Tribolium castaneum: one gene and its partners. The protein of the gene in region 1 purifies or fractionates together with the protein of each later gene. This does not show direct contact. Links are inferred from orthologs where the notes say so. Each region holds a gene or a part of one and is shown in the gene's direction. Other genes may lie near its edges. The genes, in order: Ufd4, alphaCOP, glu and SMC2.

Region 1 (6,632 bases):
CTTTTTTAAAATTTTTGTATGCATATTACATATGCACTTTTTATGCTCAAGTGTCGGTCCTTCAAATTTTATTGCAAATTATTTTTCATCCGTAAGAACCATTCAGTAAGCAGGCATGGATGGCTGGATTTTTTAAACAAAATTTTGGAGCATTTGCATAGTGCCATTAATTGTTCTGTTATTCTCTAATTTGTGTTTTTTTCGTTACACTTAACCAAGTTTGACGTTATTTGTTTTTTTTTTTCATTAATAACGTAACAATAAAAGATTAAATTAGGCTTAATTGTAAATTGTCAATTCCAATTTTTTAGCGTAGGCTGATATTAGAAATGAATTGCGACCAAAAATGTATTCAGAAAGACGTATATTTTTAATAAACACTAACATTTTAAAATTTTCACTTTTTGTTACAGTGTAATTTGTGACCAGTATTTAATAACTTTGGCTTAATATTTTTCCAAGATAATTTATTTAGTTTTCGTGCGAACAAGTAATATGGTTGGTTGCTAATTTCATGGCTTATTAAAGCGGTTTACCACAACTTTATTATTTATTACATATGTGTTTAGTGTATACTTTGTCTTGCATGGTAAACTATAGTTAGGAACGTTTTTCTTTATGAAAAGTAGGTATCATTAATCATTATCAAGCAACTATGGTGGATTCATCTACTCGGAAAACGATTTTGCATATTATAATAATATGATGATAATGATTGTTTTTTTTGCGAAAGTGTAGTCGCAATTCCTGTTCAAGAACAAGTCTTTATTTGGCACACAAAACATAGAATACTGAAGGTTCATTCTATAAATTCAGCTTTTTTTTCAGGTTGAAATACCTGGCCTTGGTTTATATTGGTTTATTTTTTAAATTAAACAGATTAGGTATGTGTCCGGATTTTGCCAAAATGTTAATTTTTAATTTTAATTTTCATCGTTAGGTTAAGCACAAACTGAATAAATAAAAGCGTAATTGAAAAAATTTGATGTGGCTTGAATTTATTTGTTAGTAAATGTATAACAGTAATGAAAGTGACTCATATTTAATCATGTTTGTCTCTAAATGGTCCATTTTATTCTGACATGTCAGGTGGTTATTGTTAAGATAATTTTTCACTGAAATGTTTGTCAACGGTTGATAAAAACAAGCATGTGTTTTATTTCATTTATTTATTTATTACTTAGAGAGTATCTAATGCGAACGAACTTTACATACTGTTTGTGGATTTTTTTTTTTTGGTAATTGCTAATTTTAGAAATTCAGCTGTTTCAATAACATGCAGGAACGTCAGTTATATCTAAAGTGCGCCACTGTTTGCGTAAATATGTACAAGTGGAAAAGACAATTTTACTTTGTGCTAAATAATTCTAATGTTTTGAAGAAATTGAAACGTTACATGAAATTGCACAAATGTTTTTGCTTTCAACAACTGTTTTCAATATCTCTGTTTCAACATTTTGTATAAAATGTAACAGTTTCAACAGCAAAATAAAATGGGTCGAACAATAAACCAAAACCTATGTAAAATAAGTCTCCAACAAGGTTAAACATAGTGGAGTTTATTGCAGCACTAAATATCGATTTGTAAAGAAAGGGGGATTTTATTATAATACATCGTCGATCAACTTGTTAACTCTTTTCGATAGAAAAAATATATAGGTTTACGGTTAATTGTTACTGCCAACCGGCCTAGAATATTTTTTAAATATCCGGTACTATTTTTCTTTTGTTCTAAATTAGCTGATTAAAACTGTTTACTCATCTAAACATAGCTTTCTATGTTATAACAAGAGAAAATATTTAAGTAAGTGAAAGCAAATAAATTTTCTTCTAAATTAGTGATAAAGTTATTTCTGTCGAGGTGGATTGAATATTTTGTAAATTAGTTGGGAGAATTGCTTTTTATCTTAATTAAATGTTAGTTCGTCTGTATTACATCCGCCAGTTTAAATTAAATTTTAAACAACTTAACCTGAAATTGGTATTATTCCACCTCGTTAAAATTAACCGGACCAATGCCGGTTAAACCTCCTAAATCACCTATTTTCATTTAAATTACCATTCAATCTGTTTGTGCTTTCGTTTCGATAAGAGTACATGGATTATTGTATGAATAATTGAATAGTATTCGCATCTCGGGATTGTAAAATTGCTGTTTGTTTCATTCATATTAAATCCGCGCCAGTGATTGTATTGAAGGCGTTGTTTGCATCCCTCACCTTGTCCCACCCTTTGAATAAAATAAATAAAATGATATGAAAGCAATCAATAATGCGACTTTTCGCTCTAGCAACTATATCGATTACCATGGCGATTAAGCTGATAAAAATTGAAGGCTTTATTTATAAATAAACACAAAAATGGGTTTGTTTGAAGAACAATCCAAACATTGCATAACAATTTGAGTATCTCAAACAAAACGATTTTATAGATAGCAGAATTTATCCCAAGAATCATGTTTATGTAACCGTTAGAGCGTTCAAAGCGCAATTTTCCAGTGAAAGTCGAAGAGACGAAAAGAAATTAACAGCAAATGCCGCGACGTCGTCGTGAAAGTTATTTTTATTGGCGTAGCACGCGTCGAATTCGCTTCAAGGAATTAATTTCTAATTAAGTGAATATAACGATGATTAAAAATTTAATAAGGGGATGTTCATTCGTCGGCTAGTTTCTCTCCGGTCCCGGTACGAAACAAATGAGCCAAATGAAAGTTTTATTTATAAATAACCGATTCCAGAGCCAAGAATCCCACCAAATTACCACCATCACATAGAAAATTGCGCAGTGACTCATGAAAAATCGCGCGACTATTTTCGATTCTATGTAAATTCGCACATGTTTGCGTGTAAATTTTATGACACATGTATAGTGGGTTGATTTGTAAACAAACAGAATTTTTGAAGGTTGCTATTCTTTGTTTTGGTGTCGGGTGTTGATCTCGTCGTTTTCAAAAATGCGATTTGACGACTTAAAACGCGGATCTACAGTTACGTAACGGGACTTTTTCGTGATGATTGGCCATCGTCGGAAGACGATGCATCAGTGATTTTGTCGTTTGAAGAGATTTTTTGTCGTAATTTGGGTCGATGGAGTCGTGAAAGTCGGAATGTTAAATTTTTGTTAAAATGTTTCCTAAACATTGCACCATTTCCTAAAGATGCGTCAATATTTTCTTAATTGGACGATTAAACCCCGGTTTATTTATCTATTAAGAAAAGATGTATCAGGTAGGTAAATATTTTTTTAATTTTGACATTAATTCTCATGTATCCATTGTTGGTGTGTAAAAAACTTGCGCTGAGAGTCATGTTTTTGTACCGAAGTCTTTATATCAAAGGAAATTGCCACATTGCGTAGGTGGTAATAAATAACTTTCTTGCATAATCTTTTAACTTCAATCTTGTAAACATTGATGATTTTTTGTGATGATTTATTTTGAGAAGGCGAGCATCAAAGACGAAGCAATTTTTAGATGTATGTAAGAAATTAACAGTTTTGAATAAATATTGGATGGAATACCGTGCTTATTAATGAGGAAACGTAGAAATATTTTCCATATTTAATTGCACAATTGGAAACACTTTCAAAGGAAATGACAATTCTATTTACATACAACTTCTGGAACATATTCATTGCGGAATGAGTTTATCTTATCATGCGAATCGTAAATATTATGTTTTTATTGAAACAGCTAGAAACATCTAGAAATATGAAAATGTCCATAACTATGTGTCGTTAGTTAACGCATCCTTTATGATTTCTCAGGTACACAAAGGTGCAGTTGAGAATTGTTTTGTCTCGACAAAGAAATCTTTATTTGAAAGATGACTTTAAAGTGCATTTCCTTGAAAATTTTGCTGTACAGAATAAGGTTTCAAATGTACTACCTACATTTTAGCAAATTATTTATGAAAATAAAAGTGTTTTAAATCGTATAATTTGTTAAAATCGCGCGTAAGCAATGGAAAAATCTGCAAATTATAATAAGCTATAAAAATATTGCATAATTGGGACGGTATAATAGAAAGGTGGCATTAGCTCTTTTCTGTCATAATCTTCACACATTAATTTTTAAAACAATATGATATTAAGACTTGGCGCATTTTTATGAAAAGTAATCTTGAAGGCGGATAATGCGGATTTATTATATTCTTTCTGCTTGTTAGCAGAAAAATAACTATATTTTTGTGTAAGCTTCCGGAAATACGGTATACGTATCTTGTCTCAGGTTGGCTAGAATTTTTCTTTTTGTATTTTGTGTAAACAGAAGGTGTAGTAATGGTGCAATACTTGTATTGTACTTTTGCTAAGTTAATTCAAAACTAAGGCAATTAAATATTAAACCATCTATTAATACCATAGTGGAGACAATCCGTAACAAGTTGTTGCCCCCTTTGTTTAAGAAGCAATCTCTATTTATTTCTAGTTGAATTGCTCATTTGCTACCTGTAGCATCTCAAACGTGCCATAGACTCCCTAAGTAGAACGACCGTTTGAATTTTTAACGTCAGTCTTACCTGTTCTAAATCACCTACAATAAAACGTTATCTCCGATTTCAGATGGCAGATCCTGATCCTGAGACGTTGCTGGAATGGCTAAACAGCGGTCTGGGCGACGAGCGAGACATGCAGCTCATCGCCCTCGAACAACTATGCATGTTACTTCTCATGTCCGACAATGTAGACCGCTGTTTTGAAAGGTATTTCAATAAAAAAAATTGTAGGTTTTGTTGATAATTAAATGATTATAGTTGCCCTCCTCGGACGTTTCTCCCAGCCCTCTGTCGCATTTTCCTCGACGAGCAGGCCCCCGAAAACGTCCTCGAAGTAACGGCACGCGCCATCACTTACTACCTGGACGTCTCGGCGGAATGCACACGTCGTATCGTCGCCATCGAGGGTGCCGTCCGTGCCATATGCAATCGTCTCGTTGTCGCCGAACTCTCATCTCGAACGAGCAAAGATCTAGCCGAACAATGCGTCAAAGTACTCGAGCTCATCTGCACGCGTGAGGCCGGTGCCGTGTTTGACGCGGGCGGTCTCAGCGCTATACTTCCCTTCATCAGAGACAATGGAAATCGAGTACATAAGGATACGCTCCATTCGGCCATGGCCGTAGTCTCCAGATTGTGCACGAAAATGGAACCAGCCGACGTGCAATTACCCACATGTGTGCAAGCCTTGAGCACGCTTCTGAGGCACGAGGATTCGCACGTGGCCGATGGAGCGTTGCGGTGTTTCGCTTCGGTGGCTGATAGGTTTACACGGAGAGGTGTTGATCCTGCACCTTTGGCCCAACACGGTTTAGTAAATGAGCTTTTGAGTCGATTGTCGAACGCTGCGGGTCCTTCAGTGGCGACCGGTACGCAGAATACGTCGGGTAAAGCATCATCAACAACGAACGCTACTGCCGCCGTACCAGACGCTAAAGCAACAGCAGCTTCAGTATCAACAATCATCAGTTTATTGTCCACCTTGTGTAGAGGATCACCTGCGATAACACACGTAATCTTGTTACTACAGTGACGTGATTTGCTTGATTGATGTTTTAAATTTCAGGATTTGTTACGTTCGGAATTACCCGATGCTATAGAAAAATCACTTAAAGGCGACGAACGTTGCGCTTTGGATTCGATGCGACTCGTCGATTTACTTCTAGTTTTATTGTTTGAAGGCCGTCGAGCTTTAGGCAAATCAGGTGGTGCTACCACCTCAGGACAACTCTTGCCAAGGATGAGACGAATGGATCCGGCAGCTGAAAAATCACACCGACAACTTATCGATTGTATTCGGTCGAAAGACACAGATGCACTCATCGAAGCTATAGAATCGGGAGGAGTCGAGGTAAAGACGAGTGGCCAAAAACACTAAACTTTATTTTTAATAAATACACGACACAATAATAAGAATATTTTAATTTTGCACAATTTATTTTGATTTTTGGCTCGAGAACGTGCTAAATAGTTGACCTAGTTTACTGATTTTTCATTCCGGTGTTATTAAATCGAAGTTTTTATTCTATCTGCGTGTTTAAGCGATTGAAAAAGACAATTCTGGTATTATAAGTGATCGATTCGTTGACTGAAAATTTGCATGATTGGAAAAACAAAACTAACTGAAATTCGGTGATTTTTTGAATTATTTTTATTGTAATTTTGGAAAATAATCGCGGTTTTGGATGATTTTGCTTGGATTGTAAAAATTGGTTGATTTTAGATGATTCTTTTCTCAGAAATGGCAAAACTCGCTGTAGAAAACCTGCCATCACTCTACTCAGGTGCCGGGAACGAAGATTTAAGCATCAAGTTTAGCACTTGATTCAGACGATTCATTCACAAAACTTTCTGTCCAAAAAATCTGAAACGACAATTCAAATACAGTTTTGTTGAAATTAGTTGATTTTAGATAATTTATTGTTCATAAATTCGCTGTAGAAAACCTGAAATCGGTTTACCCTACCGATGACAACTACGATTTGAGCACCAATTGTGTTGAAATTGTGTTGTGTTCAATTTTGGACTCTGTCTTGTCCAGAAGTATCAACATAACGTCCGAATGATCTACTTTTGTAATTTTTCAAACCGTCGTGAAAGTTTTTAGCCCTGAAAGCGTATTTTTAAGTACATTATTTT
Region 2 (6,402 bases), on another chromosome or scaffold:
AATTTTACAAAAAAAAATGATGGACCCTGGCTTAGTATGTAGTAAAAAAACATGTTTTAGGCAAGACCAAGAGCCGTCTGCGTCCACAAGCAACGCTGAAGAAAGACAAAGTGAAACTTCTGCATGCGTTACAAGTCTGTACAGTCACCTAACAACGTTGCGTAACTTAAGGGACGGCTTTATAGAACAACATGGTTCAGAGCCTTCAGTCAGCCTCAGGTATTCTCAGCAAAGCACGGCCAATGCTACGATCAGTTTAAGAGTTGGTAGTAGATAACGAATGGGGGGACAACACAACACAACCTTGACCTTGAGTTTGACCCCGCCCATTTTCCCTCTCTTTCTTTCAAGGTCACTCGTTCTCTCTTACTTTTTCAAGGCCAACCCCTCCCACTTCCCCCCACCATTTCAAGGCCAAGGCATTATTGGACCTTGGTGTTTTCAAGGTCAAGGTCATTCATGCTACTCCCCACTTTTCCAAGGCCAACAACTCCTCACTCATTCAAGATGAATCGCGCAATTGTCCTTACTCATTTTCCACCCCAAACTGTATAAAAGTTAATGTGTTGTGTTGTGTAACACAGTTCTTGTGTATATCTGCAATAACAAGAAATTCTTTAAAAAATGGAAGTTACAAGGAAGTGTTCGATTTATAATACTCCTGGTAAGTTTAATATTTTTTTAGTAGTTTAGTTGGAAATAATTTTTTTTCAGAGGATGTCATAGTTTGTCCATACGACAAAAACCACGTACTGCTCTGGTTTCGGCTTGAAAGGCACATTTGGAAGTGTCATCGGGCCGATAAAGAAAAACAAAGGGCCTCATGTGAAGTGATGTTGAAAGAAGAAGAGGAGAACTGGGATCATTTCAATGAGCCCAGCTACCTCGACTTCCTAAAAACTAAAAAGAATCATAATGCCTTAAATTAAAGAAGTAAGTTTTATTGAATCTTTTTCAGCAGTAATTTATTGTGAATTTTTTAGGGCCGGGGTTCTTTAGTAGAAAATAGTGTAGAATAAGTTTAGCTAAGTAGTAGTAGTCGTAGTAAAATGTAAATATTATATTATTGTATAAAAAAAATAAAAGTTGTAAAAAAGCTACATGTTTTTATGTACACCTATTTCAACCTACTGATACAAGTAAGTGTGACCTGCAAGCAGAGAGTCGCTCACTGTTTCAATGACAGTTGGCTATCCAAGGTGCCGGAGGACAACAGCAGCAATTTGTTGCAAAATGGGTGATTAATTTTGCTAAGAGAACTGGCTTTTCAACCTTTTGCTCAACGTGTGGACAGATTCAACATTTGAAAAATAAATGTTCCACCAGATGCAACGACACAGGTAATCACTTATAATTTAGCGAGTAACAGTAGTATTGAGACCTTAGAGCCAATTTTTTGAGTATTTTTGAAAGAAATTCACGAAATTGCGGGTCTCGAGGAGTCTTAAGCAAACTCGTTCACATGAATTATTTTTTAATTTCAAAGCACTCTAAAGTTTTTTTTAAATGAACGCTTATTATTTACTCCACTGTACCACTGTACTGTAGTATTAGCATCTACTTCATTTTTATTATTACCACCCAATGAGAGTTATCGAAAATCGGAAAAATTGAAGAGAACCGAAGTGAAAAGCTTTACAAAATGGCATAGGTTTCAAGGCAATATTTCGAAAAAAAGTTTTCTATTTTTAATCGTCGATTACGGCCAAAATAAAAGAGCTAAGTAGGAGGAAACGCTTTTTTCCATCGTAAAGAGTACATCAAAATCTATCAGATAAGATGGATTTTAATAATTGATTTTGAGACACTTGGCCATTTTTAAAGGTGGGGGGGTTAATATATTTTTTAATTTTTTCATTTTCTCAATTACAGCAAAATTATCCGAAAAAGTGGAACTATATTGATCCTAGTTTTTGTAAAATGATGCGGGGAAATATCTAGTTTTTTAATTTAAAAGAAAACCTGATTCTTGTTCAAGTTTAACCTTGTTTGCAAACCTGCTGAAAACCAAAAATCCCTAAATTGCTACGTGTTTCGTGTCGTGTTTTTTTATGTTCGATAAATGTCAATATTGGTTTTGTGGAATGTGTTTTTTAATCCAAAAAAATTACTTAAGGTACTTGTCTATTGGCACAAATACTACTTTTGGTGTGTTGTTATTTACTACATGTATTGTTTCTTTCAGTGATTTTATAGATTACTGTATGACCTAACTTATAAATTTCCAAAGAGAAACATAACCTCAAAAGACACGTCAGCTAGCTGGGGATTTTAACCAGTTTTCAAAATGTTGACCAAATTTGAAACAAAATCAGCCCGTGTAAAGGGCCTATCATTTCATTCGAAACGTCCTTGGATATTGGCAAGGTAAGTTTGTAGTTTAATAAATCTAATCATTTTTTGCGATCATACAGATCATGGCACAGCGGTATTTCTGGCTCAAAGCACATACCTATCTTTTGTATTGAAACATTAAAATATTTGTCGTACATTTTTTAAATCTTCACTACTCAAATTTGATATCAATGTTGGCAATTAATTATCTGGGTTTGTTTTATTCTTATCTGTTAGCAGCCAACTACTTGAATAACACATGGCCGGTTTACGGAACAAGGGGCTAAATAGGGTTTTAAAGTTTCAGGTTATGTTCACAAAGGGGTTTTCAATTTGTATATGTCGTAGTCTTATAGTGAAATTAGGCGTATTATGAAAGCCTAGTCATATTGTAAACGACTGGGCAAATTGTAAATGAATAAATAAATGTAGGGTTTTTAAAATGCAACTGAAAAAATTTTAGGCGTATTATAAAACGCCTAACCAGTTTTCGTCTTATTGTAAAATACCTATGGTTCATTTGCAATACGACTGAAACAAACCTGCATTATTTTGGAGTATTATAATGCGCTAGTCAGTACTACTGAAATTTAACTTTATATTATAAATTATCGTCTTAAAATGCTGGAAGACACGAAAAGCAATGTCTTTATAGCAATATATTTATTAATATAGGTTTGTAATATCAAGAACTACAAAAAATTAGCCTAATTATGTTTACATATATCTTGTTCAACATTGAGATTTATGAATGCGCGAACTTTTTTCCAGCATTTTTTCACTGGACACATTTCGAGCTCTATTGTAGCACAACAAAGCTACCACTATCTAATTTATCAGAGCCGGTCAAAGCGCCAACTTTGCATAAAGGAACATCAAAACATTAAACAAATTTACCAAGTCTATATAAACTTAACAAGATTTGTTATAGTTTAGTTTCTTTACATCGCTGACCGGTCGTGGTCGAATTGGTTCCCAGTAATCTCTATAAGTATAATTCTGTAAAAGGTAATGGTCGAATTGGTTCCCGGGTGATGGTCGAATTGGCTCCCGCATGAGCAGGTAGGTAAAAAGGATTAAGCCAAATATATGTTAATATTTTAGATTTAAAGCTTGTAGAAATTTTCAAATAATTATTTTCTTGGCACAAAATCCAACAACAAATTTCATTTATTCATGGCTAACTGGTTATTTAAAAAAAGGAGAATTTAGTAATTTTTTAAGCCCAATGCTCTCCTGTAAATTTCGTAAAATGTTTCGTCAAGCAATGACTATTAAGACATCTCACATGATGACGTTGCGTTCGTTAATATGTCTATTAATACTATTAAAGCATCAAAATAGAGACAAATTACAAAAATAATTTTAACATTTTTCGACATAGTACCCATTAAGTTCTATGCGCCTTCTTCATCGTTTTGGAAGTACTTGAATACTCGAAGAAATATTTATCCGCAGCCTTTAAATTGTTAAAATACGATTTGTTTTTTAACGTTTTGGAACTTGTAAATTTGTTCATACACTTACAAACGCCATTTCTGTTATAATACTTTAATCTGTTTACCTGACCTACCTGACCGATGGGAACCAATTCGACCATCCCCGGGAACCAATTCGACTCGTCCCAAAAATTTACAGTGATAACGATAATTGATAAGTATAAAAAGAAAAAATAACCTCAAATTCAAAATACTACAGGGTGAATTAGTGATAATAATAAATAAGTATTTCAGAGGGTTATAGTAGTAATAGTAGAATTCAAAATAAGCGAAAATAACAACTTCTCTTATCAGAATGTTTACAGTTATTGAGATATAAGAGAGTTTTTGTCGACGAGTAAATTTAAATTTAGAGTGCAATTTTTTTAAATTTTTTAAACTACCTAACTACATTAGAAAGTGGAATTTTATAAAATGTTTGATGGCATTTTTGGTTCTTTTACAAAACGACTAAATGTAACCCAGTCTAATTGGACGATATTAAAGACCATTTTACATTAAGACGAAAACTTGTTAGGTGTTTTATAAATTTTATAATACACCTAAAATTTCCAATAGCATTGTAAAAATCCTATATTTATTCATTTATTCATTCATTCAATTTGCCCAGTCGTTTACAATATGATTAGACTTTTTATAATACGCCTGATTTTACTATTAGCCTACGACATTTATACCGTGACTTATACCAACCTATACACAGTATGATGATCATTGGGACGTCTCCATATGTGTGTAAAAAGGCGCACTGTTCACTCACTTATAGAAAAATATTAATAGCATTAATACGTAATCATTTTCATCACGTTCAGGTAGAAACAAATGTCGCATTTTTTTTTTAAATTCATTTATCTTGAACGATATACACAGAACAGAGGTAAGAATGTGCTGTAAATTGTAAAATGCTAACTGCTCTTTTCTATCACATACCGCCAAACAAGTTTGCACAAGTCAGCTAAATAATGGTGTTACAATAATAATGCAGTAAAATTAAATTTAATAGAAAAAGACGTTTACAATAAGTGAAACTTTAGTTTTAGTTAGCAAAAATAAAATTTAAAAAATTTCAAATTTGTTTTTGATAAAAAATTCAATTTAAAAGATGCACTGAAAAGTAAAAAATAATATTTTTCTATTAGAGAAGAATACTTCTGGTTACAAGTTGGTATTCTAAAATTTATAAAAACTCTGGGAACGGTCATATCATAAATTATAAGTCATAGTCACAAGTCATAACAATAAGGCATTACAGAATTAGTTTCTTGAATTCAGCACTGTTCCCGAAGCTTTTATAAATTTTAGAATCCTAACTTGTAAGCAAAAATATTCTCCTCTGGGAGAAAAACATAATTTTTTACTTTTTAGAGCATCTTTTAAATAAGATCTTTTTTCTAAAAAATAATTAAAAAAAAATTTTCTTAGTATCATTCTTTACTCCCACACAATTAATGTTAGGATGACAGGGCTAATGAGTAATGAGTAATGACTAATGACACTCGAAAACGAATTCTCATACAAGATATATTGAATAATATGTATAGGGGGTGTTGGTTTTTTGAGCTCCACCATGGGGATCTCAGTTATTATAAGACCTACGTGGTCGGTTAAATTAGGGCAAAGTTGCGCATTTATATGCTGAACAATTATCTGAAAGAAAATTTGATGTGTCTAAAACTCCAACAATTAATCATTTAATTTAAATTAACGAAAAAATATTTATTGTTTTATAAATGAGCTGGCAATGAATTTTGTCGAATTTCTTTGATATAATATTTATTAATTTAGCTATCATTTGTCTTACAAATATTTTAACGTAATTTGTTACAGACGAAATTGCTGTTGATTTTATAAATTCTATATAAATTGAACAAAGTTAAAAATGAACAATAATCTTAAAACAAGCTATTTTGTTAGGTGGACGAATAACAATTAGTTTGTTACTCATTAAATCATTATTGATTAACGTATTAAAGGTGAATGGGTTTAGACAGGATTAAATAAAGATTAGAAAAACTTTATTTTAATTTTCTTGACCAGGTTAAACAAATAATGCACTAAACCATACATTTAATTTTGTAAATTTATTGCGTTGGTGAAGATGATCGGCTGTTAATAAATTTATAATAAAAATCTCAATCTTCCGTGTAATTTTGAGGTGAGATGAATTTTGTTAACTTGTAAGGAACTCTTAAGTCACATGGTGATTTGATTATGGTTAATGACTATAAATACGATTTCTTAATGTACGAGGGAACTTTGGTTGTCATTAACATTTTGTTTACAATTATCCAAACAATATAAAACATTCATTCTATTTTTATTTAACAAATTCATCACTAAATTCCAGTTGATTTACACTTGAGTAGTTGTTTCTTCATTGGAAACCGTCGTGGCATCTTCGTCATCTACATTAACCAAAAACGCAGTGGTAGTTTCAATTTTAACCTCCATTGACCTTTCCGTCGAAGCTTTCGCACTCGTACTTTCGGTGGTAGTAGTGGTGGTGGTGGTGGTGGTGGTGGTGGTGTTGTTGGTGGTCTTTTCAGTATTTTCGGTCGTCGTTCCGTTT
Region 3 (5,911 bases), on another chromosome or scaffold:
TCAATAATTTATAAAGTTACAAATTCCAACATGTTAATTTTAAGGATTAACAATAGCTTTTTTTTTTAAACTTAATGTCTCTGCTATAGAAAAATCAAAGTATTATTTTCGTGAAATAAGTCTTTGTTATTCTTGAACTTAATCGTAAATAAACAATCTCTTTATGGTCTTGTATAATAAATAACTATTTATTCATCTTTTTCATTTAAATATTAAAATTTAGGTTTTCAAAAAGCGAACTGAAATGTAATTGTGATTTAACGTTCTAAAAATATTGAATGCTATACGTGAATAAAGAGCTTTTATCCCTTCAAAAAATTATTTAAACAATTTTGTATTATTCACTTAAATAGCTATTGAAACATTGATTTGTTTTAACAATTTTTTTTCTAGAAAATATGAAAAGTTGCAACAGAAAAAGGATCAACTCAAGGATGCTTTCAATGCGGCTGATAAAAAGGATGCCCAACTACAAGCCGAAATGACAAACACTAACAATAACAGGAAAAAATTTAAGCAACAGCTGGAAGATGAAAAAAAGAAACTAATTAAGTTACAAAAAGTGCCTGAAGAAAATGCAAAAGTAATGACAATTACTTGTATTTAATTTTTGTTAACTTTTTTCTGCAGCTCATTGGAGAGTGTGAGAAGCGAGAGCGTGATTTAACATCACAGCACGAAAAATTACAAGCAGAGAAGGCAAAATTAATGGAAAATATCGGTCATGAGACGAAAGATCTACAAGTGAAGAAAGAACAGTTTGAAACTAAACTTGGTAAACTCAAAAAGACAGTTGACACAACAAAAAATGAGGTAATTTATTTTCTAAATCCATACTTTTAATTGGTTTGTTAAATTATATATTGATAAAAATTATTTTTTTTATTATGATCCGGTTATAGAAAAAATAGTGTTTGCAGTTTGCATTTAATATTAATTAAAACACGAATATCTACTAAAGTTAAATGAGTACTTGTTAATACGTACTATTGTTACTCATTTTTTTTAGTATGATTTGGCTTCCACGCAATTAAATTTTGCCCGAAGCAGTGAAGAAACCGAACAAGAAAAGCTTAACCAACTTCGTGAAACGATTAAAAACAAAGAGGCTTGTATTAAAGAACGTTCTGGAGAGGTGTCGCAACTTAAAAAGAAAATTCCTCTTACGGAAAAGTCACTCAATGACGCGCAACATGAACTAGACGCAGTTAAATCCGAACAAAATCAAATTGAACATGAAATTAGACGACAAAGGATGTCTTTGGAGGAGACTCGTGCTTCCATGAACAGTTCCAAGTCACGTGGGAGAGTTTTGGATGCTTTGATGCAACAGAAGCGTGAAGGGAAATGTCCAGGGCTCTATGGACGTCTTGTAAGTAAAAAAAATAAAAGTGGGACTTCTGTGAATGATATTTCCTTAGGGTGATTTGGGGGGCATTGACCAAAAATATGACGTGGCCATTTCAACTGCGTGTGGACCATTGGACAATGTTGTGGTTGATACAGCAGATACAGCTGCATGGTGTATTGATTTTTTAAAAACTCACGGGATTGGAAGAGTTACTTTTATCGCACTTGATAAACAGGAATATTTGAGGGAACGTGCCAACACCAGAATTCAAACGTGAGTCATTTCAAAATAGGATTGAAATGAGATACAGATTAAACGGTTTTAAAATGATTAAATGCAGTCTGTTTACTAATAATTTCTTGGAAAAAAGCTGAAATGTTGAGCTTTAGTAACATTCCTGATAGGCTGAGAAGAACTCATGACTAAAATTTTTACGAGAAACATGTAAAAAAAAATTGAAACTACTTTCCAATATTTTGCAATACGGAGAATAAATATCGGGAGGCGACATAATCCGATTCGCCGTTTCCAAAAATTTAATATTTTTTTCAAAAACTGTTTCGGTGTTTGATCAAGTGTCAAGTAATTATCAACCTCAATTTTATTTTGCTTGAAAATTTCCAACTTTTAAACTTTACAAAATATTTCGGAAAATACTATTAGTAGATAAAATCCGCTTGCAGATTCAGGATCCCTGGAAAATTTTGTCTGTGACAGGCTATTTGGATGTTTGAAAAAATCTCTTACTACTTAAAAATTTTCATTTAAATTTATATTGACATACAAAATATTTTTTTTTATTTATTTGGTCGCTTGATATTTCTATACACTTCCAAATAAAAATTTAAACAATTAAATTTAGTTTTGTTACAGGTTTTAAGTAATATCAGTTAATTTAATAATCATACATTTTTTAATTTAAAACTATTAAAATTTAAAGACCATTCGTTGCTGCTGCTAGAACAATAACTAAAAATCGCTAGTTTTTCAATTTTTACGTGTTTTAAATTTTGACAGCTTTTTAGAATAGTTACAGAATAGCGTTTCGGCCATCCAATCGTTCATTTTGAGATTTATTTATTTTTGTATAAAAAAATGTTGCCATAATATTGTAGTTAAATAACGCCAAGTTCAAAAACACAAAAGGACCTTTTTACTTGAAACTTACATAATTGCACTTTCGAACAGACATAAAATTGACTATAAAATAAGTTGTTTATTTACTTGATATATTATTATTTTATTTTACAAAGTTAAGTAAATTAAAACAAGCGTTTGTCCTGCTTGTGGGTAAGAGGAATTTTTCAAAACTGTTTTTTAAAAACCTTAACAAAATAAATAACAATTACATTAAATTTTCTTGTCTGCTTATTGGAATTTATAAAATTTAACTGCAGTAATTTAGGGGACAGTTTATAAAACACGAATTGCTTAAAACAATGGTACTTTTTGTGCAGCGACTTAATATTAATTGGTTCATTTTAATTATAGGGAATTTTAGACAAATTCAGAAAAAACACACACAGAACTGAAATGCAAAGTATTAAATTGCAAACGCTGATTTCAGTGTGATTATTAGTTTTTGAGATTCAGAAAAAATACACTTTTAAGAGATTTAATTTGTTAGTATTAAACAAAAGATTCGAAAAAACTTAATAACTTTCGGTTTTTCTGCAGAAGTTTAAACAAATCATAAGAAATAAAGTTAACGTAAACACTTTATCAAAATCAGTATACTATTTATAAATTATAAGCAATAATGACAAATTTGTGTGTGTTCCATATTTTTCAAAAGGCTACGGTTGATGAAAGAAAAAAGTGTGGGAAAAAATATAGAAAATAAATTTTGAAACGTATTTGTCTTTGAACGTATTTGTGGCCTAAACCTTTGAAGATATATATTTGATCTTGGAGAATTTTTTAAAGGAAATTTGATTGTCTGCAACTTTTTTCTTACATTTTTCATTTTTTTTCTATCTTCATCAGTATTCGCAGCGTTTTGAAAAATACGTGCCAGAGCCCAAATTTAAAATTTTGTAATAATTTTGTCGTGTTTTTCATGTTGAATTTGTATACGTAAGGTTTTTTCACCCTATTAAGAAAGTAAAGCACAACAATTATGCATTTTTCTCTAATTAGTGCACTAGTTAAATTTAATGTAATTTGAATTTCAAAACGAAAGCAAATGTTAAAATTTCAGACCTGAAAATGTGCATCGCTTGTATGACCTCATTCAAGTGCAAGACGACACAGTCAAAACTGCCTTTTACTACGCGCTGAGAGACACTTTAGTTGCGGACGATTTAGATCAAGGCACCAGAATTGCATTCGGTGCCCAACGCTTCAGGGTGGTAACACTGAAAGGGGAAATCATGGAACCTTCCGGTACCATGAGTGGTGGTGGAAAGACAGTAAGCAGGGGTCGAATGGGTCGAACCGTCCTCACATCCACTATAGATCCCAAAGAGTTGGAAAAAATGCAAGTAAATATCGAGAAAAAAGAAGAACGTCTGCGACAACTGACTCAGAAAATGAATAGTTTGGAAAGCCAAATCAGGACATTAAAACCCGAATTTGATCAAATGAGAATCAATTACGAGAAATTCAGCAAAGATCTCCAGGTTTTTGAACAATATTTCGATATTTTATTTTGTTTTATTTGTTTGTTTGTTGTAGTCGTTGAATGAGGAACAACCGTTACTCTATGAAAAGTTGCGTCAACAAGAAACTGTCGCAAAATCGACCAAATCTGACCCTAAAGAAATCAAGAAGTTGGCGGCGATTGTTGACGAAAAGAAAGCCGAATATGAGAAAGCTCTTAATATTATGAAAGAAATTCAAGACGAAGTTGACAACTTAAACAAAGCCATTAAAGAAAAAACAAGCGGAAAACTGGTGGGTGTTGAGAAAAAAATTGACGAAGCTGTGAAGATGATTGAGAAATGTAAAACGGAAATCACTCGACTTAAAGTTGCAATAACAACGTCTCAAAGAAATTTAGATAAGACTACGCAAAAAATTGCAACATTGGAACAAAATATTGTCGACTGTGAAAACAGGTTAAGAACCATGAAGCAAGAAAGGGATGAAATTGAAGCTGATGGACAACAGTTACTGAAATGTATTGAAGATATTACCGAGAAGTTGACACAGGGCAAGGATGATAACGTGGGTAAGGAATTTAAAAACAATACACATTTCTACATTAAATTATTTGTACAACTATCAATTTCACCTCGTATTAAATTAAAAAATAAATACCTGTTTATCACAAAACAAAACGATATTTATATTTCACATTTTGGAATGTACTAATGTAGCAATTTAGGAAACAAATTCTAAAAGTTTAGGAAATGTTTTTTTTCTCCAAAATTTGACTTTATTTTTTGTTTAGAATTTCTACTGGTGTTCATATAACAAATAGGACAATATCTTCTTATTTAACTATCTCTAAATTTGCTAATAATTCTCCTTTTCTTCTAATTTTCAATTATTTTCGGAATCAGGTTTAGCAAAGGTAATTTTTTAATTGCTTTCTCTTGCATTAATTGCTTAGCAATGAACTAGATCATTTGACCTTTTTATTGAAATTTAATAATCAATATAAAATTTAATTAACTTAAATTCAAAACATTTTGTTTATTGTGGACATCAGAATAATATTTTTAATTTACAATATTTATTACCAAGAAAATTTGAATGCAATGTATTTTTCACACATTTGGCTCTATCGGTTTTATCCCGCAATTTGCATTAAATATAATAATTTGTTCAATGACAGTATTTAAGCTATTTATTTCGGGTCAAACAGATTCATTGTGTCCATAATTTAATTTTAGTTTTTGATAAATACAACATTTTGTTATTATTTTTTTTTGTTTAACAGAGTGATGAGTTTTCTATAAGTATTTTTTACAATATTTCAAAAACTAATAGTCGCACTGAAATCATTAAATTTCAAATTAAATGTTTTATGTTTTTCTCTAGACCTGTAAATTTTTCCAGAATTTGTGTAGTCATACTTAAAATACTTAAAATTAATTACCGAAGAATATCAGTATCAATAAAAAGTATAAAACATTGATTAATCGAAATTTTATTATTTCTAGTGTTATTCGAAAACAACGAAGATTATTTTGAGCATTCTTAAACCAATAAAATTGTTGTTGGCTCCAAAATTAGGTTTATTTGATTTAATTTTTAACTTTGCGGCTAGTGAAATTTTTTATAGATTATTTGCACAAAACAATTAAATATCGCTTGTTCTAAAACGACATTAGAAATAGTAGTTTTTTGGCAGCGACTTAATAGTAATTACATTAAGTAATTTATTTTAATTTTAAGGAGAATTCTAAAAAAATACCTGAGGAGAAAAATATAAAGTATTTGACATCAAACGCTGAAGTTTGTATGATTAACTGAATATTAGTTTTTGAGTATACTTTTAGGAGACTCAAAAAAAAACGTATACAAAATAAGCGGTAGCCCCAAGAAAAAATGAATTACCTAAATAAAAATAATAGATACAAACAGATGTCATTTTGAAGCTAGGGTCAATTT
Region 4 (5,514 bases), on another chromosome or scaffold:
TAAACATAAAGCAAAAATTTTATCGTAAACTATATTAAAAAAAAACTTACCAATTTTTACTCTGCCCCATATTTTTCAAAACACTGCGAATACAGTTACAGATACAAGAAAAGTGTTAGGAAGAAAGTTGTAGAGAATTTAATTTCCTACAAAAAAGTTCGCGAGACCATATCCCTAACTTCAACCATTTGGGCCCCAAAGTCGTTCAAAGACGCCCAAGCGACGGATTTGGTCAAGTATTGGAAAGCTAATTTATACATAAACTGTTTAAGATAGAAATATGGTGTCGCGGACTTTTTTGTAGAAAATTTAATTCTCTACAATTTTGTTCCTTACACTTTTTTTATATCTTCAACCGTATTCGCAGCGTTCGTACGATAATTCTAAGCCATGTTTTTTTGCGCACCGTCGCATATTTATCAAAACGCTGGAAATACGGTTGAAAATAAAAAAATGTAAGGAACAAAGTACTTTTATTAATTAAGAAATAATTATTTAGGATGGTAATAAAGGTTTGGAAAAACTCGAAAACGAACTACGAACGGCTGAAAAATCCCAAGCCAAAGTGAACGCAAACATAAAATCGCTCAACGACGAAATTGACAACGAAACCAAGAGAAAAAAGCAACTGGAAAAGGTATTTCCCTCCCACCCAACTAAATTTCTCCAGCAACTAGTCAATATTTTTTAGAATTTTTCCGACGACGAAAAAACCCTCAAACTCAAAGAATCCAACTTGGCGAAAGTCGAATCGACTTTCCTCAAACTCAAAGAAGCGGACGAAAAGGACAAGGAAGCTTACCTTACGTCCCAAAAACGAGTTGTGGCTTTAAGCGCTGGAATGGAACTCAACGACCAAGGCGAAGCCGAGTCGCTTCTCGCCCAATTAATGAACGTACGTCAAGAAGTCTCTGAAGTGACCAGCAACAAAAACTGCACTCGCGTCAAGCTCAAATATTTTGAAGACCGCCTCAAAGAAAAACAACGGAAAAGTTCCAACGCAAACGAAATCCTCAAAGACCAACAGGCCCAAAAGGCCATGACTCAAGAAATTGAACAATTGAAAAACAGTATGAAAAAATTGCATTTCAAGGAGGACCGGATGAACGATTTGAAGAATAGGAGAGGACACTTGGCGCAAGAAATGAGGGTTTTGAAGCAACGGGTTGATCATTTTGAGATGCGGAATTCATACACCCAGTTCAGGTATAAAGACCCCGAACCCAATTTTAAAAGGAGCAGTGTTATTGGAGTTGTTTGCCGATTGTTTGAAGTGAAAGACGAGGCGGCGGCGTATGCTTTGGAAATGGCAGCCGGTGGTCGGTTGTACAATGTTGTTATAGATACCGACATTACCGGCAAGAAGCTACTCAAAAACGGGGATTTACAGCAGAGGCGCACCTTCATGCCGCTTAATAAAATTCAAGTGAATAAGATGAGCAACAGTGTTGTTAAGACAGCCGAGATTTTGGTAAGTCAATGACGATTTTATTTAATTTTTTATTTTATATTTTATTGGCGTTTCTGTCTGTATAACTGTTGTTTACAATGCAACTGAACATAGCATAATAGTACAATTAATTATGTAATGCTCAGCGAAATAAACTCTACCATATAGACAATGGGGTAAGTAGTGTAGCGATTGGCACCTTAAGGGTTAACCATATCTTTGTTTAAACAAAAGCGTTATGTGAAGATTTTTTTTAATGTGGTAATTTAATCCAAATTATTCCTAAATGCACCTAAATAAACAAAATATATTAACCGAAAAAAAAATTATAGCTAATTTTTAAATAATTCCAAAATAAAAAACAAAAAAAAATTAGTGATTGGCATTTGCGCAATTATTATTGGCACTCTATGTTTTAGTCATTAGCACCTCAACTTTAAATAAAAGTCTTCAGTAAGATATGTTTTTGTTTGTAACATAAAACAAAAAAACATACAAAATAAATCGCAAATTCTCTATAAACAGCAATATGTTAACAAAAAAATTTTGTTTAAACAAGATAAGCATTCAAAACATTCAGAGTTTTATTTATGTAAATTAAACATCTTTATTTTATACATTTATACATAGTACTTTTTTTACAGCGTAGGCAGTTAAAGCCGCATTAGACCTTGAAATATTTTGAGTACAATTAATACATTTTGTTTTATAATTTTTTTTAATAAAAGTCTTATTTCAGTAATATCTGGCAAGCGCAGTCATAAAACTGATAACACAATTAGCTTTTGGTGTTCATTTGTTAAAGGATTAAGATTTAACCTTAAGAATGGTTATCTGTTTTCAAAATTTTGTTTATTACTATTGTTGTTACTCGATTTTTCCCTATTTGTTTTAAGTTTTTTTTGTTCTAGAGTTTTTATTTTGAGATTTTGTCTGCACTTTTAAGTCGTTTCCTTTCTTCTTCTTCTATTTCTAGGTGAATCTTTTTTATTTTTTTTCGCACTGATTTTTTTCCATTGTGCTAAAATTATCACGTATGGAAGTCTTTTAGTTTCTTTCTTTCCTTTTTTCCTTTCTTTCTTTCTTTTTTTTTACTTTCTTTCCTTTTTTTTTCTTTCTGTTTTTAAGAAAAAATTACAACATCGCATTTGCATTTTTTTTGAGAAAGCTAAAGCATAAAATGAGAGTTTATTTATAAGAAAACAATTCTAGCTTACGACAAATTTAGAGCCAAGGAAAATTGACAATTGGTGCTAAAGATTTGAAACATACCACATAATTGTCTTAAATTCGGACTATCTATGAAAATCTGACATTTTATTTGGCAGTACTGTGAGTTGTCATAAGAAATTTATTTTGGGTTATAATTGATGACAACCAACGACTGTTGTCAGTTTGCTTCATTTTTTAAATAATTAATTAAATACGTTTTTATTGTTATTCTACTCATTATCATTAGTTAAAAAAGTCGGGTCTGTCTTTCTTGCATCTTTTGATGCACACTTTCTTATCAACAGAAATTATTTTCGACATTTTAAATTAATAAGTAGTAGAACTGACAACACAGCGAATTTTTGACAAGACAACGTCATAAAGACAGTACCTGACAGGACCTGAAGCCAACCTCAGAAAAATATATCTACGCCTGCTGAGAATTTAAAACAATCGTGAACGGATAATACTTATTTTTCAATAATAAGTTTAATATTATTTTCTAGCAGCAGCTTTTTGTAATAAATTAATCTTTAAAGTATTTCTTTAGGGGCGTTTGGAATATTTCTTTCAGGATATTTTTTCTTATATAATTTTTTTACTGTATTTGGCATTTTTCTATAAAATTATTGAATAAAAAAATAATTTAAACAATATTAAACTAAAATTAAACCTACTTTATAATATTTTATTAGCATAATATAAATGAAAGACTAGTAATTAACGCTCTAAATAACGTAATACCTGTTTCAGAACTATAAAAACAACTGTCACTTTTCACAATTGTTTTTTTTTTTAATTAAGGTGTTTTCTTGGCACATTTTTTTTACTGGAATTTAATTTAACACAACTCATTTGACCCCAAAAAAATGTAAGTAGATTGTTGCTATTTTTTTATAGTTTTTGAAACAGCAAGTGACGTTCAACAAAATAAAAACCTTGGTGTATATTCAAAATGTCGCAAAACATGGCGGTTGTAGGTCGGGAAAGACAATATCAAACTGGCCTTGGACTACTTGAAGTACGACAAAAAAATGCAAGTCGTTATGGAACACATTTTCGGAAATGTGTTCATTTGTAAGGACATGGATGTGGCAAAACAAGTCGCCTTTGATAACAGGATTAGACGCAAATGTGTGACGCTAGATGGCGACATTGTCGACCCGGCGGGTACCTTAACTGGGGGTTCCCGGGAACAAACCGAATCGGTTTTGAAACAACTCGAAACCATAAAACAAGTGGAGGTAATTAGTTATTCAATTATAAAAATTTTTGTTAATTTTTATTTAGCAACAACTGAATGCCAAAGATGAAGAATTTGAAAAAATCGAGTCCGAAATTCGTGAAATGGGCCCCAAAGAAGAACAATTCGCCACGTATCGAAGACAGTTGGAATTGAAAGAGCACGAATTGAGTTTAATTACGCAAAGGTTGCAACAATCGACTTATTACCAACAGAAGGAAGAAATAGCGAATTTGGAAAAAGAAATCGAAAATTTGAAGCAAACAATTGCCTCGTGTGAAGAAAATGAGAAGAAACTCAACGAAAAAGTGGCCAGTTTGGAGAAACAAGTCGAAGGCTCGAAAGGTGGAACCGAGAAGAAATTAAAAGAGGCTGAAGCAGAAATGGCCAGATTGAAGGCAAAAGCGGACAAAAGCCGAAAAGAGTGGCAACAAAAAGAGTTGGATTATGCAACGTTTAAGGGAGAAATTGAAGAATTGAAACAGAGTTTGTTGGATACGAAGCAGCAGATTGAAGCAGCTGAAGCAAATATCGAAAAATTAAAACAGCAACTTGAAGAAATCGGGACGCAATCAACCGAAATGAATGTAAATACTTGTTCTAATCACTGGTTAATTCTACTTTAATCTCGGTGTTTTAGGAAAACATCGCCGAATTGCAAGCCCAACTCAAGAAAGGCAAAGCCGAAATCGTCGAGAAGAACAAAGACGTGCAAAAGAAGATCAACGAAAAGGAAGAACTGCAGTCGAAAATCACCCAGTGTGAGATCCAAATGAAAGAATCCACTCACAAGTTGAAGAAACTACAAGACGAGTGTAAGAATTTGAAGACGCGTCAAGCTGATTGTGAGCAACGTGCCAATCGCAACGAGTTGAAAAACGCCGAGAAGATGTCAGATGAAGATGGCCTAAAGTTGGAGAGAAAAATTCGAGAAGCACAAGAAATGAGGAAAAACCTTGGACGCACGGTCAACAGCCAAGCACAAGTCCATTTCGAAGAACAGGAAAAAGAGTACAATGAAGTGAAGAAAAAGTTACGAATTGTTGAACAAGACAAACAGAAGCTGCTCGATGCCATTAAAGAATTAGACAGGAAGAGAGAAGATATTGTGTGCAAGGCTTATTCGCAAATTTCCAAAGATTTTGGTTCGATTTTCAGCACGTTGTTGCCAGGGGCCGCCGCCAAGCTGTTGCCGCCCACGGGACAAACGGTCCTTCAGGGAGTTGAGGTAATTGAAATTAAGGGAAAAAGGACAAAACATCGTACATTTAAGTATTTTTTGAATGATTTATTTGAAGTAATCGCAAAAAACTGAATTTTGGCTCGTAATTTTCATTTTTAATCAATTAAACTTCTGAAAAATACGATAAAATTGTGCTATTAATTAAGAAATGTCCTATTTAATCATCAATTTCATTCAAGAAGTTCAAAATTCGATGTCAGACTGACTGAGTTACTTTACATAATTCACTAAGTTATTATGAACTATAATTAAATATTATTGTTTTATTCGGAAATAAAATTAACTAGACGCCCTCTGGTGATGACTTTTGAACTATGTCGAAAACAGTAAAGAAATTTTCGTAATGCCACATTTAACTGACATTTA

Evidence for each region.
Region 2: the proteins of Ufd4 (region 1) and alphaCOP purify together in Homo sapiens (affinity purification with mass spectrometry, with the first as the bait; 3 studies listed by BioGRID). This does not show direct contact. The link is inferred for Tribolium castaneum from reciprocal best matches to the Homo sapiens genes HECTD1 and COPA.
Region 3: the proteins of Ufd4 (region 1) and glu purify together in Homo sapiens (affinity purification with western blotting; 3 studies listed by BioGRID, with this or other methods). This does not show direct contact. The link is inferred for Tribolium castaneum from reciprocal best matches to the Homo sapiens genes HECTD1 and SMC4.
Region 4: the proteins of Ufd4 (region 1) and SMC2 purify together in Homo sapiens (affinity purification with mass spectrometry; 3 studies listed by BioGRID, with this or other methods). This does not show direct contact. The link is inferred for Tribolium castaneum from reciprocal best matches to the Homo sapiens genes HECTD1 and SMC2.

The regions. Positions count from the first base shown.
Region 1 is NC_087402.1:10,970,184-10,976,815, reverse strand, and holds the start of Ufd4 (E3 ubiquitin-protein ligase Ufd4), read left to right. Parts: upstream 1-3,086; 5' UTR 3,087-3,218; coding exon 3,219-3,227; intron 3,228-4,560; coding exon 4,561-4,700; intron 4,701-4,751; coding exon 4,752-5,505; intron 5,506-5,559; coding exon 5,560-5,844; intron 5,845-6,632. UniProt on the Homo sapiens protein: E3 ubiquitin-protein ligase which accepts ubiquitin from an E2 ubiquitin-conjugating enzyme in the form of a thioester and then directly transfers the ubiquitin to targeted substrates.
Region 2 is NC_087403.1:717,070-723,471, reverse strand, and holds the start of alphaCOP (coatomer subunit alpha), read left to right. Parts: upstream 1-1,985; 5' UTR 1,986-2,116; intron 2,117-2,185; 5' UTR 2,186-2,287; coding exon 2,288-2,367; intron 2,368-5,831; exon of another isoform or gene 5,832-6,185; coding exon of another isoform or gene 6,186-6,402. Other genes in the region: uncharacterized protein DDB_G0289357-like, read right to left, coding at 6,186-6,402. UniProt on the Homo sapiens protein: The coatomer is a cytosolic protein complex that binds to dilysine motifs and reversibly associates with Golgi non-clathrin-coated vesicles, which further mediate biosynthetic protein transport from the ER, via the Golgi up to the trans Golgi network.
Region 3 is NC_087394.1:25,210,762-25,216,672, reverse strand, and holds part of glu (structural maintenance of chromosomes protein 4), read left to right. Parts: intron 1-393; coding exon 394-583; intron 584-630; coding exon 631-813; intron 814-1,009; coding exon 1,010-1,372; intron 1,373-1,421; coding exon 1,422-1,624; intron 1,625-3,551; coding exon 3,552-3,972; intron 3,973-4,027; coding exon 4,028-4,523; intron 4,524-5,911. UniProt on the Homo sapiens protein: Central component of the condensin complex, a complex required for conversion of interphase chromatin into mitotic-like condense chromosomes.
Region 4 is NC_087399.1:6,191,155-6,196,668, forward strand, and holds part of SMC2 (structural maintenance of chromosomes protein 2), read left to right. Parts: intron 1-499; coding exon 500-637; intron 638-691; coding exon 692-1,471; intron 1,472-3,642; coding exon 3,643-3,906; intron 3,907-3,952; coding exon 3,953-4,492; intron 4,493-4,545; coding exon 4,546-5,133; intron 5,134-5,514. UniProt on the Homo sapiens protein: Central component of the condensin complex, a complex required for conversion of interphase chromatin into mitotic-like condense chromosomes.